Linked DNA regions of Drosophila melanogaster. The protein of the gene in region 2 interacts with the protein of the main gene of each other region in a pairwise test. Each region holds a gene or a part of one and is shown on either strand. Other genes may lie near its edges. The genes, in order: CG32121 and CG34376.

Evidence for each region.
Region 1: the proteins of CG34376 (region 2) and CG32121 interact in a two-hybrid assay, tested with the Drosophila melanogaster proteins (one study listed by BioGRID).

Annotation. Positions count from the first base shown.
Region 1 is NT_037436.4:13,420,504-13,424,103, forward strand, and holds the start of CG32121 (uncharacterized protein), read right to left. Parts: upstream 1,834-3,600; 5' UTR 1,819-1,833; intron 1-1,818. Other genes in the region: CG33263 (uncharacterized protein), read right to left, coding at 2,982-3,600.
Region 2 is NT_033777.3:22,439,425-22,456,528, reverse strand, and holds the start of CG34376 (uncharacterized protein), read right to left. Parts: upstream 8,431-17,104; 5' UTR 8,114-8,430; coding exon 7,909-8,113; intron 1-7,908. Other genes in the region: CG34288 (uncharacterized protein), read left to right, coding at 9,313-9,328, 9,394-9,557; CG12499 (uncharacterized protein), read left to right, coding at 9,997-10,390, 10,443-16,228.

The DNA.
Region 1 (3,600 bases), on a different chromosome or scaffold from region 2:
CCAGCTCCTCCAAGGTATCCGGATTGTCGAGTACTCCTCTATGTTTTGATGACCAAGTCAACGGGCTGATTTACTCGGCCGTTTCGGTGAGTGCCCAGTTGACGAATCGGAATTACAATAAAACAGCACACACACAGACGCACAGACACGGCCAGTGTTATTTGTGTTCTTTGCTGGCAATTAAACCAAATTTATTTAAATAAAATAAGTTTTCCTTGGCTGGCCTGGCCTGGGCGATCTGATCGCAGTGCCACTGTGGGTTTCTGGGTACACTATAAATTTGGCAATTTCCATTGTTCGGATCGCATGTGATGCACTGGGCGGGCGGGCGGTTCACACTTTTGTCCGAGGGCTATTTATAAGAAGCTAGTCCAAGGAAGCTGGGGTGGGTATGTCGGTATGTGGGGGATTTTGGGGATTTCTCGGTCTATGCTGCTGCTGCTGCTGCTGCACCGACGACCATTGGAGGCCCCCCAAAAACAGGCAGCCCGGCCAATGCAAATCCGCAGCGAAGTGACAAGTCCGAGTCTTTTGGTTTTCTTTGCACTTTAGCTAGCCCAGCGTGCAATTGTTGGACGACGGAATTTTCTTCATTCCATTATGTGTGCACATGGGACTGAGAATCGCATCTAAGCATTTCTCTATTGAGAGACGATGGATGGTGGAGGTTGCCTTGCCATGCCATGCCTGATGGGGTACAATGGATGCCTGGCTATGGGATTGGAGGGATGGGGATTGGGGTGGATGGCGACTCGAGATGGAGGGTCGGAGGAGGAGCGGCGCGGCCTTTTTGGCGCTCGTTCACACAAGAAAGTGTTGTCGTGACAGTCAGGCAGCCTTCTTTTCCGTAACTCTTTGGTATTTCGCTCAGTTTTTACTTGATTTTCCGAAATTAGTTTTTCAGCCTTTCAGCTCGGCACCTCCTTCTCCTGTACCGTCCTCTGGCTGTTGTTTTAAATAGCCATCCAAAAAATAAAGATCTGTGCTAAACGCTCTCGCCATGCTGTCTATTTTGATTTGTTGTCCAAGTGCCTGCCTTTTGTCATCCATGGCAATTCATTCCAAAGCACCTCGCAATCGTTTTCATTTCGATTTGGATTTGGCTTTGCCTTTAGCTTTGGTTCATTTCGAAGCTATTTCGTTGATGCGTAATATTTTACACATAATCACTCATACGCCTCGTTGAGAATGTCGAGGGAAGTGGATAGAAAATGAAATCATGCTTAAGCCTTCGCTGCGTTGCCTTTGTTATTGTTGTTTAACTTTCATTTGTTCCATGAAATGTGGCGCACATAAATTTGATGTCAACGCTGTTTTTTTCCGAGAGGTATTTGAATTTCAATATAGAATTCGCACGATCAGCGGTATATGTGAATCACGCATAATCCAGTGGCCCAGCATATCTGCCCCTGGGGAAGTCTAATAATAGAGCTCTATGGCTAACCCTTATGGTTGAGGATCTCGAATTGACTTCTTTTATGCTAATGGGATGCTCGTGGCGATCATCAAATTGAATATTTTCCCTCAACTCATGTTATTTTATGTAGTGTTTTTATGACACGCAGTTTGTTTTTTATCTATCTTTCACATTGAAGATCTCCTTTTGTGCTCGCAGCGACATTACACAATTTACTTGAATAATTTAATCACTCGGTTCTATGTTTATCACTGGGTTCTCGTTAAACGAATCCTTCACATTTTTGTTTTATTTATTTTTCTCTTTTTCTAGCTTTTCACACATATTTTGCTAATGCCATTTTCCCCGCGTCCGTTACGAATTTTCCCTTTCGCGATTTTCGCGACGGGACAAGCGTGCACCTTTGTTAACCGTTTGCTGCTCGCATCTGAAATGAAAAAATCCGAAAATGTTTCAATTCTTTCGGTTTAGTTGGAGATTTTCTATTTTTCGAATGTCCATCTCTTGACAATTTTCCTCTATCTTGTGTTGCTGTTGTTGGTGTTGTAGCTGCTGCTGTTGCTTGTTGGTGTTGCTGTTGGCCCAAATGTTGTTGCTGCTGCTGTTGCCATTTGTTTAGCGGATTCGAATTTGGCTCTCAGCATGTCGGGCGGATCCGTTTGTCGCCCGATTCCATGTTCTTTAATTAATGAGCAGGCCGCATCGGCGCAGCGAAGAGAAATCTCAGCGGTTTTGTACTCGCGATCAGTGTGAAGCCTCTTGGCCAAAAATTAATTGGCTGCCCCGCAGTTAGTTAATCAAAACATTTGCCAGTGGCAAATCATCATGAGGGCATCATCATCATCATCATCATAATCAGGAACTGCGACCACTCCGCCACTAGACACAATTGACACGACTGGCCGACAGGCGGAGGAATTTGTTGGTGCAGCGGCGGCTGCTACTGTTGCGGGATCGTGTGCATTATTAATTTGCAATAAAATGTGGAAGCGGCGACAGCAGTTGCCGCCGTTTGAAAATTGCCCGCCGAAAATAAATTCATATACCTGCGCGTTGGATTTGTGAATTATGCCTGACAAATACAAATGGAACCGCCAGATGGAGACGCCGTTGGTCATCGGGCACCCAGCACCTTCATTATGCACTTTTCAATTCATTAAAATGCCACAAATACTTATTTATTATTGTCATCTGTGCGCACCTCGATTTGGGTTAGCAGCCGCGTAGCTTGGAGGCTGTAAATAGCTCAATGTGTATATAAGCCCTTCACTCAAGGATAATTCCTTACATAAAACGTACGTTAAATGTCAAAGTACCACTAACAACTATCTAGTTGACTGACAATGCAAATGCACACGTGATTGCTATGTACACTCTAAGAAAGAAAAATAAAGTGCATACAGGAAATTATTCATTTATTTTTGATTATGATCAAAGTTAAAGCCTCATCTTAAGAACATATAAATAAATGTATAAAAGTTAATAAAATGATTTGAAATCAACCTACAGATCGCCTAATCTAATCTAATTTATTTAGATCAAAGTTGAGCTTCTAAAGATAAATCTAGTAGCTATAACTAAAGCACTGAGCCTCGCTGCTAGGCTTGCATTGCTTTGTAGGAAAGTCCCAGCCATACTTGTAAGGACATCTCACAATGGTCAGATAGCCGCTGAGGCACCTGTAGTAGTACTCGCACCGCTGGGGATGAGGATGGTCACCATCTCCGGAAATGTCGCAGTGCGGCCTTTCCTGAGCTGGAGAGGAAGGCTTTGCAGATGGGGAGGATGGCGTAGCAGATGTAGTCGGTGGCTCAGTCACTGAAGGAATTGATTCTGTAGGGGTTGTTGTAGAATCAGCTTGGAAAGTAGAAGAGTCCGCAGATCCTGTAGAGGCGTAATCAGAAGGCGGTGTTGGAACGGGAGTGGTTTCTTCGATCCCGCTCTGCTCCTCACCAGTAGTTTGCTTATCGGGCTGCTCCTCAGTCTGGACTGAGTCTGAGTTCCTTAGACACACACCCTCATCATCAAAGGCACACTCTTGGGTTCGATCGTCAAAGTAGGTGGACTCGGGGCAGCTGTCTCGGAAGGAGTCTTCTCCATTGCAATAGATGTATGAAGCGCAATCTTCGATGGCCATGACAAAGGTATCCAATGGAGCATTTGCGCACTGCGGGAAAACTTCG
Region 2 (17,104 bases):
AAAACAAGTTATAACAAAAATCACATTTTGTTATTAGACAGGGTATTTTTTTTAAGATAAGTAGCAAACAACATTTTTGGAAAAATCCAAAAACGTGTTTATCAACAAGGCAAAGAATATTCGAATTGCGTTTAAAACCAAAGGGGATTTTTTAAATGATTCCAGACTGATTACAAACCGTTTTTATGTTTTTCCCTCTCCCAAAAATAATTCAACGTAATTGCTTGTTTACATAAAGACTGAAAACGACAATAATAACATCAGTAGGAAAGGAGGTCACATTCGTAGTGGAGATGTTATCATCGAAACGCTCAAATACTAAATCAATACATAAAAACAGCTATGATAAGAAATCTGAAAACTTAAATATAAACTCAACAACAGCAACGCAGTAGCAGTAGCACAGCAATAATTATAAAATAAGTAGCATGACATATCATCCGCGTGCTCCCCACTCGTCCTAAGAAGCTGTGGAGCTGTCCGGATTCGAATCGGATCGGCTCCACAGTGGTGCGGATCTGTTATCTCAGGGGTGGTTCGAGATCATGCCACATAAGTTTCAATATTTCATAGTTCACAGTGGGCCATCAAAGTGGTTTTATGTGTTTCAAAAATGCCTATACATATGTTTTAGCCGTGATAATATAAGTTCCCAATCGTTTTTAAATATAAATATGTTTTTTAATGAGTCCAAAAATGCAAGGTCATTATTTATGCTAATTCATCATTTAGCATTTCATTCCCGCCAAAAGTAGGATTCACAAGTGAATTAAAGTGTTTGAACCCGATTCCAGATTAGGTTCGTACTTCTTTCTGACAGATTATTTCGAATTTGCTGATCTGAAACTGATTCTTATCAGCGCTTTCCCATCAACCCCTGCCCACTGTGCATGTCTCGCTAGCAGCATCAACATCTAGTTAAAAACAATATTATCACTTGTTCTCAATAACAATTTTATTACACAAACAGGCGTACATACATCGCATATGTACGACTGTATGTAAATACAATATTAAATCGCCGATCAGCAACAGACAAACTTGGTTGCTTAATCTGACCGAACGACGACATCAATTGTGCCCTATCGTTTGCCGTAGTCGTCATTACGGATCATTCCGTCTCGCCTATCTATCTATCTGCGCCTTGGCATGTCCGTATTCGACCGAGTGATCGCCTGGCGAAGATCAAAATCCAGGCAATATACATATGTATTGCTCCAGGGGTACAGTGCACACATCGGGTCTCAACTGATGCCAGATAGATACGGGATTACACATTGAGGGCACACCGTATACACCACTATCACTATCATTTGCCTCACTTTTCCGTTCACGGAGATGGAGACACATGGCCAGCATCGCCGGAGATAAAGAACGAGCGTGAATCGAGACAAAGAGATCCATATACAAAATTCTTTCGAATCAATAAACCATTTATGGACCCCGACCGTAGAGAAACTCTGTCTAAAGTTCACGGAGAACGTGATAAATCCGTGCATGCTCTGCCGATAAGGGAATCGACAGTACCCAAAACTCAGATCATCGCAGCTCGATCGCTGTTTGCCCAAATGTATGCCATATATGTATGTATGGTACCATCTACCAGGGAATATGGATTTAATGGTCGCCTGACCCGCAGTGATCTCTGCTGATATCAGAGCGTCTGCTAGAATTGGGAATTGGGTACCGGGGAATTGGGGAACTGCAGCGATATCTGCCTCAGTCTCGTTTTTGATTTGTTTTGGGGCCCGAACACCCTCACCAATAAGATCACGCCCACTCCAAATGGTTCAACCAATCGGATCGCAGGCGATCGATTTCGAAACAGTTTTACTTTATGATTATGATAAATGTTTATCGAATCAGAACGCCAATAGGTTCCATTGTTGTTACCCTCAGCGATTCGTTTAGTGCCGTCGGGCTTGTAGTGGAGTGGGCTGCCTCATTTTGACAATGTCGTCGCACGAACATTCATAAATATTTGTTATCTCCGAACGCCATAATAGTCGAGTAGTCGAATCGAATTGTCGTTGTGGTGGTAGTGCAACCTGATAAAAGGCCAACAAGCCCAACGACAGGCCCAGCCAACCCAAAAGCTTGGTCATAGATTTCCATTCGGATACCTCCCTTTTCCGCCCCAAACTCTCTTCGAAAAGAAATGCCCCGAAGGAGCGCAAATGGCCCAGGGATTAGCCCAGCTTAGTCGATTGCCACTTCTTGGCCATTGGCGATTTCTGGCTATTGGCTACTAGCCACTAGCTACTGGCTTCTAACTTCTACAAGGGCAATAAATTACAAATTGTCAACACATATGGGCAATAAAAAAGCATTTATGATATTTCATATGCTCAAAGTCAAAGTTTGATATAATACGAAGAGACCATAAAATACGTACGTAAACAGCTTTCGATTCGATCGATTGGGTAACCCAGAAGCAGGAAATGTAGAAGGGTTTATAAACTCGATAATTCAATTGTATTAACGAATTTAAAAGCGTTAAGTAGATTAGGCAGTAAGCATTACTACAACTCATCTTAATATTTGAGTGAAAGTTTCAAAATATTTCATTTAAGTGTACTATAAAATGCTGATCTTTCGTTTTTGCGAAGATCATCATTACTAAATTATCAAAAAAGTGAATTCCTTTATTTCCTAATTTTAGTACCAATCTCAGATTTTTTGAAAACTCAAAAACTAGCTATCTTTACCTGCCACAAGACCCAATCCTTCGTTGCCGACCAATTCAAACACTTTTGATAATCTTGGCAAGCGTATAACATCGAAATAAACAAATTCAAGATTAGGGGTTAAGAACGCACCGAAACTCAAAGTCCAACGTGGCCAAAAATGGATTATTTTGCCCAAATAAATAGTGCAGCGATCAATAAAAATTTTTTACCCCCTCTGAAGCGTTGGGAAAAAAAATAGCACGACGACTTTGTTTTTAGTCACGGTGCGGCAATATATTAATAACATTGGGTGTTTAATATTTACGACAAGTCCAGCCGGCGAATCGATATTATATTATCTTCCGAACCCAAACGCTGGCTGGTAAGCAACCGCGGCTATATTCGATCGCCGTAGCTACTTCAAATCGGGAGTGGGAATTGCCAGGTGGCCAGGTGGTTAGGGGACTACATGGCAACGGGGATTTGGAAGGGAAGTGGCTTGGACCTGGTTCTTGGAGAGGCCCAATATCACACATGGCACATGCTGCGGCTGTCTGAGTGCGTTATCTAACGAGCAATAAGTTCAAAATCTTATTTTACGATCAAGAGTGATACCCAAAGTAAAGTGGTTGGCACTAAACGCTGGGCTGATAAAACGATTGCCCCCAGACGATGTCCGTCAGCTCAAAGAAGCTGGGGTCGGAAAAATCGAATTTTTGAAATTTGAAAGCTGGAATCGTTTGCCCATTTTTTGCCCATGTTTGCCCACCAATTAGTTTTTTTTGCCCACGTCCAGTTTTTGAGATATGAATTTTCGAAAAAGTTCGAAAATTTTCGAAAATCAAAAATTTCGCTTTTTTCAAAATTTTTTTTTTTAAATCGCAATAACATCGTTTGCCCACGTTTGCCCACCCTTTAGAATTTTGAAAAAATTTATACTTTAGAAAATATAAGGCTTTTAAGTTTACCTCGGTCTAATCAGAGAGTAAATCGTTTGCCCATCTCTTAAAACCAAATATTATCAACAAAAAACGTTTGCCCAACCATTATTATTAGTTTTTATCGTTTGCCCACCCTTTAAAAAACCTTTAACAAAAATTTTTTTTCGATTGCCCACATTTAAAATACAACCAATTTCCTTAGCCAACCTCTTTAAAATAAAAATTTCCAATAAAAAAAGTTTGCCCACCATTTAAAACTAAATAATTTCGATTGCCCACCTTTTAAAACTAAATAATTTCGTTTGCCCATCCTTTAAAATTCATTTTTAACGTTTGCCCACCCTTTAAAAATAAATTATTTCGTTTGCCCACCCTTTAAAATTTGTTTTTTTCGTTTGCCCACTCTTAAAACTAAATAATTTCGATTGCCCACCTTTTAAAACTAAATAATTTCGTTTGCCCATCCTTTAAAATTCATTTTTAACGTTTGCCCACCCTTTAAAAATAAATTATTTCGTTTGCCCACCCTTTAAAATTTGTTTTTTTCGTTTGCCCACTCTTAAAACTAAATAATTTCGATTGCCCACCTTTTAAAACTAAATAATTTCGTTTGCCCATCCTTTAAAATTCATTTTTAACGTTTGCCCACCCTTTAAAAATAAATTATTTCGTTTGCCCACCCTTTAAAATTTGTTTTTTTCGTTTGCCCACTCTTAAAACTAAATAATTTCGATTGCCCACCTTTTAAAACTAAATAATTTCGTTTGCCCATCCTTTAAAATTCATTTTTAACGTTTGCCCACCCTTTAAAAATAAATTATTTCGTTTGCCCACCCTTTAAAATTTGTTTTTTTCGTTTGCCCACTCTTAAAACTAAATAATTTCGATTGCCCACCTTTTAAAACTAAATAATTTCGTTTGCCCATCCTTTAAAATTCATTTTTAACGTTTGCCCACCCTTTAAAAATAAATTATTTCGTTTGCCCACCCTTTAAAATTTGTTTTTTTCGTTTGCCCACTCTTAAAACTAAATAATTTCGATTGCCCACCTTTTAAAACTAAATAATTTCGTTTGCCCATCCTTTAAAATTCATTTTTAACGTTTGCCCACCCTTTAAAAATAAATTATTTCGTTTGCCCACCCTTTAAAATTTGTTTTTTTCGTTTGCCCACTCTTAAAACTAAATAATTTCGATTGCCCACCTTTTAAAACTAAATAATTTCGTTTGCCCATCCTTTAAAATTCATTTTTAACGTTTGCCCACCCTTTAAAAATAAATTATTTCGTTTGCCCACCCTTTAAAATTTGTTTTTTTCGTTTGCCCACTCTTAAAACTAAATAATTTCGAAAATATTTTATTCCAGAATTTTCTTGAGCTTGGAGAGTGTTGATAAACATACATACATTTTTTTGCATATATATTATATTGCAATATAAAATATTTTCCATGAAATGAAACAATGATTAAGAAAAATTGATGTTACAATTCATGAATGATTAACACTATGGATATATTGAAAATGTATGTAAATATGTAAATAACTGTTCTTTTGTAAGTAACTGTGCTTTTGACGCCACATCTTACAATTATTACATACATATGTACAAATTTATTTTTAATAGGTGAAAAATCGAAAAAACCATTTTTAAGAGGTGGGCAAACGAAAAAAACAAATTTTAAAGGGTGGGCAAACGAAATAATTTATTTTTAAAGGGTGGGCAAACGTTAAAAATGAATTTTAAAGGATGGGCAAACGAAATTATTTAGTTTTAAAAGGTGGGCAATCGAAATTATTTAGTTTTAAATGGTGGGCAAACTTTTTTTATTGGAAATTTTTATTTTAAAGAGGTTGGCTAAGGAAATTGGTTGTATTTTAAATGTGGGCAATCGAAAAAAAATTTTTGTTAAAGGTTTTTTAAAGGGTGGGCAAACGATAAAAACTAATAATAATTGTTGGGCAAACGTTTTTTGTTGATAATATTTGGTTTTAAGAGATGGGCAAACGATTTACTCTCTGATTAGACCGAGGTAAACTTAAAAGCCTTATATTTTCTAAAGTATACATTTTTTCAAAATTCTAAAGGGTGGGCAAACGTGGGCAAACGATGTTATTGCGATTTAAAAAAAAAAAATTTTGAAAAAAGCGAAATTTTTGATTTTCGAAAATTTTCGAACTTTTTCGAAAATTCATATCTCAAAAACTGGACGTGGGCAAAAAAAACTAATTGGTGGGCAAACATGGGCAAAAAATGGGCAAACGATTCCAGCTTTCAAATTTCAAAAATTCGATTTTTCCGACCCCAGCTTCTTTGAGCTATGTCCGTCTTGTTTATGCCAATAATAAATAGATAATTTTGGAGGATTAGCATTGTATTGGGGACTGTGACTGTTGGCCAGATATAACCACTTGGAACGGCACAGTGTGGATTGATTTACACGTCCGGAGCAGCGGAAACACGTATATATGTTGCGAGGCTCTCTAATCAATATCTCGACTAAACTAAATTCTTCGAGTGGCTGTAAGGGTGAAGGAGTGGGCGGGCGGGCACTCAGTTACTCAGTTGGGCAATAAATGATTGTTAAACGCGATAAAAAGATAAAAAATATTTCGACTATTGTTGTTGTTTCTGCGTGTTACACACGGAACAAACACATAGCCATTTGGCTTGTTAGCACCTCGATGACTGTTGTTGGCTGGGCTGGTCTACATTTAATAGCTTGCCCCCGCTTGGGTTCGCCGTTATTTATAGGGTATATTAATATTCTTTATCTTTGGAAATACCTCTTGTAGCAGCGTTTGTGGGTAGGTAGCACCTTCCTGCAGCTACTTGAAAAGATAAAACCTTATTTTTTATGGCCGCCTGATCAGATAAAGCCACCGTGCAGCAGGCAGCCGTGTTCAACACGACTGCGAACGAAATCGGAATCGTACCGACCAGGAGGGGCCGCGGCGATATCATATCCATACACCATATAGCGTACATAAATAGTAGTACACCACCGTTCTAGAGTCCATTTGAAGTACATTTGATGAGGTCAGCAACGCACCCAATCTCCCCGATCCGATCGAAGTGGGCTGCGGCTCCGACTCTGCGCTCTCTTGCCATGGACCTTATCACGATACTCCCTCCGCCGGTGGATACTCCGTGCGTGGCGTGGGTAAACAATCCCGGTGTGCCTCCGGAGGCGGAGGACTCCGGCAGCTACCACACAGGCATAGACAACGCGGCGGCACTCCGGCTCACCGGAGGATTATCACCAGACCTCGATTCTTAGTGGGTTGCTGCTGTTTGTCTTTAGATTTACGACTCTACAGTCAAACTTCACTAACTGGAACATGAATCAGAAACGGACAGATATTACGAATTGGATTATATTACCCTGAATTGGATTAGTAAATCAAATCGGTTATCAAATGATTACAGTTCATTACAAAGTCTTTAGATAACTGTAGGCTGGATAAACCTTAATGCATTTGCATAAACGATTTATAATCTTCCTAATATCGCTGCACTACTTAATTTTAATGGGCGATCCATCAAACGACTAACAATATTATTCGATTGATTACTTTGTATGCTAAAAAAAAGGCAAGTTAGGCTTATGAAATAAAGTGTAAAGTTAATAGGGCGGGTATAGTTGGATTTATGGTAGCGATACTGTAAAGACAGACGTAGTCGTGCTGGGACGCTCGTCTGGAACTCGGAATCGAACTGGCGGTGGAGCTGGGCTGATAACCACCGAATGTGTCATGGAATTTAACACAAAGGTTGATTTATATCTAAGCGTTTGACAAGAGTGATGAACAGACAGGCTGACGGGCGGGCTCCTCGATAAACTGACACCGCTGTCCCAGTGATAAACTGACCGATTTCTGGGGGAATATGCTTGACCAAGTAACCAGCAGTCACTCTTCCCTGGCATTATACAGACTATGTATGTATGTGAAGGGTATGAAATAGCCCAGCGAATAGTCAGACTCTTTTCCGGCTTATTAAAATTCCAAGAAAATATGTCTACAATGTATTTGCAATGCCAAGAGCCAAGCAATTTGTAAGAAACCCGAATCCTTCAGTTACGCACTCAATGTTCCATTAGGATCATCCATATGCATGGCAACGAAAGCTCGGAACATTAAACTTGACCAATTTCTGGAAGACCACTTCCGTGCCCAGTATCAAAATACACATATAAATGCCGCGCTGACAATGTAAGCCACGCTGCATAACTTAGCATTTAAACCGGGGACGCCGGCGATGGGGCCGCAATCTTGTGCTGCCTAATCGGTGTACTCACTGATGGGATGCTTGCAGGGATTGGTAGTGAATATCTCCTGGAAGTAGGGGCTGCAGATAGCCAGCACTATCTTGTGGGCATGGAGGAGCTTTCCATCGCAGGCGAGGGTCACGTCCACCAGGTCGCCGCGGTCGTACAAATTCTGGAAGCCGCTGGCTATGTTGTCCTGGAAGTTCTTCCAGCACAGCTTAAACTCGTCGTCCATCGCGGATGCGGATGCTCGCCGAAAACCAGACTTTTCCAATTCCAATTGGGGAGCGTAATTTATGCGCACAGACTTTTGCGATGATTCTCGTGCGAATCTGTTTTTTATGGCTTTTGTTTATCCGCTTTGCTCGTGATTCGTTCACGGGCCAAAAATCGCAATTCACGTATTCTCGCGCACCTTTATTTTTATTATATCAAGGGTTCGAATTTGATAAACTAGCTACCAACTACTCGATCCGCATTCACGCGCACACGATCTCGAGTCGTTCGCGTCCACGGGCGCATTGATTTTGATTTGGGCTCTAATTAACACAGTGTGATTTAAACATTTTTATCGGAAAGCGTGAAAAGCAGCGACGCTGTTTACGTTCCGGCTGATAATGAACGCACCACCCCCCCGCACTTTGAGGAACAGTGAAATGTTGGTTTTTTAGGCGCCACAGCGAACGGTCTCACTGGCCACTGGTAAACAAACGAAAATGTTTGCTGAACTTTAATTCCAGCTATAAAAATTTGATTAACAATCAAAACTGTTATCACAAAGAAAAACGTTAGAGAGGAATGAAATTCTGGGATTTTATACAGAAATAATAATTCTAAAGAGATTATAAATCCTGCAAATATATATTTTTGTAAAATGTATGTTAACTACTAATTTGTTAAAAATGTTCGCAATTACTACGTAAATTGCTTGAATTGTCAAATGCTTCTAAGCGTTTTTGAAATCTGGCCCACAAGAGCGGAATTTTCAATCGATAGCCTTTTCGATAAACGATATCATAACGACAATTGAATATTTAGCGCCAATTAGAGAGCATTGAAAACGTTTTCCCCTGATAAGAGCTTATCGCAATTGGTTTGTTGGTCGCTTCGTTGCGGTTATATCCGACCGGCATTGTCCGCTTTTATCACAGTTCTACGGTTCTTTGCACGATGCTAATACGGCCGATGGGGAACTACACTGTTGATAGCAGACCTACCCATGGTGTCATAAATAACCCACTTTACATTTTAAACAAAAAGAGAATAAAAGTAACAGCAGGGCTTATCAATTAGCCATGAGTCGTTTGTACGCCTCAGGTGCACACATACGCACCCAGTCAATTGGCCACCGATTTGATTTGCCCGATTTAGTGCTCAAAGAACTTTCAGCAAATTAGCCCACTCGTCCCGAGAATCAGTAAAGAGTATACCATAATGGGTTGTTGTTTTGGTAAGTGATTTGCAGCTATCTTCAGAAGGCAATAACAGCGACTAATAATAGTTGTGTACTTGCAGGCAAAAGTAAATCAGTCGATTTGCCCGCGGTTCCGCCGGCTCCAGCCAAACAACGCTCCACTCTGCCAGAATTCCCGATTTCTGGATCGGTGACTAGCACGGCTCCTGCAGGATCTGGATATGGATCTGGAGGAGCCACCAATGCGGCCCTCGAGGATGACTAGACGTGGTTAAAGGAACAGAAAAAACGTTCACGTCCAGGGAAAACTGTAAATTTGCCAAATGGCAGATTGGATTATGAGTCATTCCGTGCCGAGATGTGGTTTTTTCAAAGTTGTGCACCCTTTGTAGTTAGTATTGTAGTAAAATACGTTGTTTATTGTTGGAGAGTATAAAATTGTTGGTAAATTAAATCATAACTTTAATCTCTTTGAATAAGTTGCTGTTCTGTTTTTTTTCCTGTTTCGCCAGTTTATATTTTAGCGCGCCAAGTGTCGCCCTATACAACACTGAAACAAGGGCGGTATTTTTCGGTATTTTAAAAAGGGTCATACCATTCTCTGCCAGCACGTGTGTGCGGCTGTTTTTGTGTTTAACTTAAATTTTAAACGATTTATGCTGTAAATAGGCAAATATAATTTATAATATTATTATTAAAGCAAAATGGCCATTCAACCCAATCGAAGAAAGAGAAGGCACGAGGAGACAACTGCTGAGCAAGAGGATGAAGGTGAAGTGGAGGTGCCCAAAAAACTGGCCAAGGAGTCCGACACACCGAAGAAAAAGAAAAAGAAGGATAAAACTAAGGAATCATTCGATGAATCCACGCTGGAAAGCACTGAAACCGATCCTGCTGACTCCACTCCATCAAAGAAGAAGTCTAAAAAGACAAAGACATCCGACACAAGTGTAGAACAACAGGTGGAAGTGGAGATGGCTGAGGATGAAATAAGTCGCGATTCCGGGATTGATCCCGAAGAATCCCGCATACACTTTCCCAACGACTTTAAGATGATGCACTTTCGAACCAAGCTTCGCGGCAATAACTTCATAACAGGTGGGTTAATACGTTCAATAAAAGATCGCTAACTCACGAATCCCAATTCCAGAACTGCGACACTTCCTGCACATGTGCTCAACCACGCGTCCTAAGCTTGCGGCTAAGTACATAGAAAAGCGTGGAAAGCCCTTGGAGTTAGCAGAAGCATTCGAAAGGATCGATAAGACTAATTTATTTCACGTGGACTACCTCACAGAGGCTTTGCACCGAGTTTTGATGGAAATACTTACCAACCAGAAGAGCCACATGGAGTCGGCTGTCCACGGGTGTAGATATTTTCTCAAGGTTCACGGAGGAGTGCTCGAAAATCAAATGAAATCAATGCAGCTAGGCCATCGGCGTAATGCCCTAAAACTGCTCACCGCTATTGTGTGCGTGGAGCCTCAATTGGCCCGCCAAGTTCTGAATTCGTATGATGTGCTTTCCAACGTGACTGTGACGCAGAAATTGCTGTCCCATGAAAAAAGTGAATACCAATGCGAGGATACAGTGCGCAAAGCGTTTATTCTCTTTATTTTGGCCTTCCTGGTCGAGGGCAATACTCTACTTATCCGGAACATCCTGGATCGAGGGCAACTAATTGGTGTGCTGGCCAAGGGATTGGTTTACGATGACCACGTAACCGTCTGCGTGGTGCTTAACGCACTACGGCAATATGTGCTGGAGAACCCCGAAATACAGAAGACCAAAAAGGTTCTGGTTTTCGATTTAGAGTGCTGCAAAAATCTGCGTCGCCTCTACGATTGGGAGGGACCCATGGGACTCAAGGTGATGTTTGCTAAATCGAAACATGTTTCTAAGATACCTCCAAACCCACAGGAGGCGGAAGCGGTATCGGCTGCCGTTCACGAACTCCTGCTAGTCCTTTTGACTTCCCGCAAGCACGGCATCTGCTTTGATGCGATGACGCACTACCGCCAAAAGCAAAACAAACTGCAGGGCAGATTACTTGGCTCTCTATTCAAGCCCTACGATAATCCGCGCAAAGTGGATTTGGTTATTCAAACACTAACTGCTTGTCCAGACTTGGGACGCAATACAGTGAGGAATTGTTCCTCTCTGCTCAGTCCGGTCAAAACCAAGCCGAAAGATTTGCCCATAGCTGTGGCGTTTCTCGCCCAAATCATTAATGCAGTCCCGCCCAGTGCTCTATCAGCAGCATTCGATAAGATGACCCTAACGGATTTCTCATTTTGGATCAAGGAGCTGTGTTTGCCCATCGAAGCTTTGCTTCACATTACGGGTAAGAAGTACCTGAGCGATCCAGACTTCAATTTGAGATTGGCTGTACTGCGTCTGCTGCTTTCCATGATGAAACAGTACAGCAACTATATGAATGCCATTGCTGTCCGAGAGCAATCAAAAAAAGCCGGCAACTCGCTGCGTAAATTTAAGTTCGATTTACTTAACCATCTGCTGGTGCATTTTCCCACTATCGAGTCCATCCTATATTCGCTTTACATGTTCATCAAACAGAAAAACGTGGAAGGAGTGAATGTACTTGAGAGTTTATCAATCACTTTAGATCTGGTGATGCTACTCTGCAAGGAGAATCGAGCGTTTGTGAATAAGACAAGTCAGATTCTGGATTATTTGGATGTGTTGCGACCCCTATACGAAACTGATTTTGACAAACTGAATCAACCGGAAGAGCTCTTGAAGATTCAATTAGAACTGAAGTCGATTAAAACCATCCTGCTGCTCTTTCCGCACTCCTTGAACCCAACCCAACCGCTTTTCGGGAACGTATTCAAATCATTCATAAAAGCCTACATGTTGGAGGAAAAATCAATCAAATCGGAGTCTGGAAACATATTGAGTCGGCTGTTCCAAAACACAGGGATGTTTGACTCCTGCAGGCATGAGATCAATATCTGGATAGAGGCCCTTATTGGATTCGGTCCCGCTACGGTGACCAACGTAGTAGAGATTCTGCTGACCATACTCTGTTTGGATTGGAGACAGATTGAGCTTCCTGAACAAAGCGTTACGGATACTGCCATAATCACCAAGAACCTGAGCAAATTGTTTGCTCAAATTGAGCAAGGTCAAACAGTGCAAGCTTATGTGGAAACTCTTACCCTTAGCAAGATGATGCCGCTGTTGCTAAAGGGTGTAGAATTGGAGGAACCATACGACGAATATGTGGAGCTAGTATTTGTTCTGCTTTTCCACTATCACAGCAAGCCGGAAATAGTGCTGCAAATGTACGAGGATAACTTAAGCAAGCACACTAACTATATGAAGAGTTGGCTGCCTGGTGAAGGAAATGGTAAACCAAAGAAACTTCCCCACCTTATATTTGATAAATGGCCCTTGCTTAAGCAAATGCGAAAGGTTAGCACCGAAAGTGAAAACATGTCATTCGAGCAGGTATTTAAAATGGATGATACGGAAAACAACTTCGAGCTACAACTAGAAGAGGGCCAGACAATGTTGTTGCATTCCTCCCTCGGAAATCCACGTCGCAATATGATCTACGTCCAGGATTTGCTTTTCGTTTTTAGCCATTTCTTCACCAGCCAGAAATTAAGCAAACCTCAAGCAGAGCTGACAGCAGATTTTCTTATTAAATTCCTTCAAATTGCCAGTCAGGTAGATGGGCCAGAAGAAGTTCAGGAGTCGGATGATGAGCAGCAGGACGAAAATTTTACTCAAAGTATGCTGCACTATATATTTAACCATCGTCTGTGGCAATTGCACCCCACTGAATTGCTTAGTGAGACGAGCGAATCTCGCTTGAACTATGTTATCTTCCTCAGGAGATTAATGGAGCATTGCCGCAGCTTGCCTCGATTCGAGACCTATACTGCCAACTATCGCTTGCACTTGATTAAGACCCTGGATATTGCTTTGGATACACCGGTGGACCAGTTGGGAAATCAGCAGCAGCTCGACGAGTGTGTGAAATTGGTGGATTCATTTGAATTCAATTCTGATCAATGCTCTCAAATGCTGGACTTGCTAACAACCAAAGTGCAAGCAAAGGACTGCATTCCGAATGGTAAACCAAATCATTACTTTGATCTACTTCTACGTTTGCTGGGTCGATTGAACACGTTAAAGGAGCCCATTGATTGCGGGAAGTCATTTAAATTAATCCTGACCTTCTACAAGGACTTCGGCGAGCTGAATGAACAGCAACTGGAACCATTTGAGTTGGCCGTCTTGGAGTTTTTGCTCAATTACCATCATCACATGGATGAGTGCGACAGTGAGTTCTTTGCCTGTTTCTTTACATCCTCTCGAAAACTCAGCAAATCCGCCATTCGTTTGGCCTGCTTGCTGCTCGAGCGCCAGCCCCGATTAGCTGAAACATTCGCAGAGTTACTGCCAAGCAATTTGGAGCAAAAGGATTTGGTGTACCCCCTCCTGGATATTGCTCTGACGAAGAACTATCAGATACCTCTACCAGTGCTTCAACGTTGCTATCAGACCTACAAGAACGGCTTCATGAAGAGCATCGAGAAGCCACAGAAGGCTGCCCTAATTTACCGGGAGCATTCGGAGGCTAGCGCTCTTCTTATTGCACTTTGCATGCCAAAGTCTGAGTGCTTCGATTACTGCCAGAAACAACTGAAGCTCGATTCCGTGGAACTTTTCCAGGTGCGAGTCCTGCGTGAGATTTACTGGCAGGGCTTTGCTGCCGCTAAGGATGAAAAGCAAAAGGCCACCGTCTTTGTTAATTATATAAACCTTAATGTTCAACTGTTAGCACTGGATTTGAAGAAACAGGCTTTGGATCTGCCTAAGCTAGAGCAAATCTCGTGGAACTGTTACGAGTGGTGGAAGACGAATCGGACCGACGATCTACCCTTGGACTGGAGTCGCTTGCAAAAGAACCCGCAGTGGCTTAACTTTTGCAAGAGTAGCTTAAAGTTGGCCCTTCACCTCGGCGAGGAACGATTGCCACTTCAGGATGAAACAAATGGGCTTGTTCTAAAGCTGATGGCCTTCCTGTGTGATGGAATGTATGATGAATATAAGGAGGATGCACAGCAGGAGGAGGATGCAACACCAACACTTCTATACGAAATGATTTGCACGCACTCCTGCTGTTTTGACCATCTCTTAGGCAAGCCAAGTGAAACCAAAACGCACATTTTACACCTAATGGAGGTGTTGGCCAGAAAGGCTCCTAGTGCCCTGCAATCTGATCACATACCCGTAATCCTTGGCTCCTATCATGCAAAACTGTCACCTGCGGATCGATATGGATTAGCACTGCTGGAGCACTACGAACGCTTTGACGTGGGCTTGGATAAGTTTAGACCTTTCATTTGGGGCGAAAGTGCTGTGGCCCATTATGCCCTGAGGGCTGCGGACGAGGATGTGCGAACCAGGCTGCAACAGCAGGAGACGAATGTGGCTCAGGTGCTAGCCCTGATTGTTCGAGAGACTAGCGAGTACACCATTGAAAATTTCCCGATTTGGAGAAGCCTCCATGCTAGCCAACAACTACCCTCCACGGAGTTTCAAAATCCTGCTAAGAAATCCATGAGCTTTGGCGACAATCAGTTGGAGCAAATGGTGGAGCAGGGTCAGCTAGATTTCCCACAGGATTTACGACGAATTTGCCCGAAGCGCGAGACTATATACGAGACCTGCTACGATCCCGCCTTCCTGTTACCCCTGATGATGCACTGCTTTGCACCCGAGTCCGTAGTGTGGGCCCGTTGGCCTGTCCAGAATGGATTACTGGCGATCACCTTCTGCGGTCTATCATCTCTGGACAAGGACATGAGACTGGCGGCTGCCAGTTGCCAGCAACGCTATCGTGCTCATTTCGAGCTCTCCAATTTCTACGAGCGTCCGCTGTGGACGCAGGCCTATGAGAACATTCAGGCAGGATTGGCTGATCTGAGAAACTCCTGGCTGGCACAGAGGAGAACGCATGGCGGAACGCCTAGAGTTCCTTTGATTCCTGGCCTGTTTATCGCTCACAGCTTTAATTTGAGCACAGAGCCAACGCATTTGCTGTACAAGCGACTGATGATGTATTTGCGGCTGAAACAGAGCTTCAACTTTCAAACGATACCCGACTTCAATGTTTTCTTCTACTCCCAGGAACCAGAGCACCAGCAGTACCGCGAGTTTATCGTGGAGTTGCTTAGATGCGGCATTAAGTGCAGCGCCGACCTTTTCCTGCTGGTATCCACCAATACGTTCAAGGTCCTCCTTGGATTCTACGGCTCCAGTTTGGCCAGTTTGGAAACGAATCTGCTGCTGCTTTCGGTGCTCTCCACATGCGTCAAAATTCCCGGAGCTGTGAAAATCATGCTGGAGCACGTAGGCATCCTGTCCTGGCTGGTGGGCGTAATCCGCGACACAGAGTTCCATCAGTTCGATATCATCGAGGGTGTCATCAGCATCCTCAACAATCTGTGGTATGCCTTGGCCGCGTCCCGTTCGGAACTGACGGATTACGACCACATCCAGTTGCGAGTTTACCGTCTGGTGTTGCAGCTACTGCCGCTGCTCTCTCCACGGATATCAGTTCCTGGCTTGGGTCGCCTGTTCAACGTTCTGTGGAAAACTGGCTCGGCCTGTGGCCAGCATCGTGCCGTGTCCGCCACCCAAATGGATACCCTGCTGGAGTGCGTTTCACGCCAATGGCCCGATCAGCTGGCGAGTGTGCGTTATGTACGGAGCTTTGGCAGCGCTGGCGCCTGTTCGCGTTCCGAATACTGCGACTGGCTGGCCAAGGATCAAAAGCTGGAGACTCCTGCCGTCCTCGCGTTGTCCAGTCTGCGGGAATATGTCATTGACTGGGCGCAAGCGCATAAATCGGAGAGTGACGGGGAAACCAAGCTGCTGGTGGAACCAACGGAGTAGCGATTTTTTATTGTTTTTGCTTAGGTTAAGCTATAAAATTGTGTTAACTGTATAGGCACTTAAAATCATCGAACCATTAAATTGTATGCAATGAAACGACAAATCTAAATCTTATACTTTTTCCTGTGTAAATAATAATTCAGTGAAATACTATATAATGATGGAGTATTCCTCTTAGAGCTCCAGACTGACTGATTACCGCCGTAACTCATTCTGTATCAATATTTGTGGGAGTCACTCGAAAGCGAATCACTTAAAGATGTGTTGAAAACGAACTGTCATGTCTCCGGCTGATCCAAAAGCACCCTCAGCCTTCATTAGTCGGCCCGCAGCGTATGACAAATTACGGACAATCAGCATAACAAAAGATCAGTTGGGCCAAAAGAGATGGAAATCCGGAGACAAAGTATTGGACCATGGCAAAACCCTTTAGCGTTTGTTAATTTGGCCAATCCGTTTTCACACGCACCACAAGTGGGCGTCCACCGATGCCCACCCAGCATCCATAAGGTGTGCATGCATCTTTCGCGACCCCAGACCCACCTACAATTTGTTGGGTCAACAAAATGTTAATCACCACAAAGAGCTTAGCCAAAAGAAGATGGAAACGAATAATTTTTGGTCTTTGGATTTCTAATATGTAAAGCAAAGTGCGCAAAGTTGACGCAATCGACGAACGAAAATATTCACAAGATTTATGATCTTACTAGCTGTCTCGAAATCTAAGCCACTTTGTTACATAAAACTCGCGGTTGGGTTGGGCTCTGGAGTTGCAGATGCGGCTGGATGCGACATAATTGATTGATATTGCCTGGCATTTTGTTAGCCAAAACGTATCAAATGTATCTTTTGGCCTGAAAAATATAGTGGATCGAA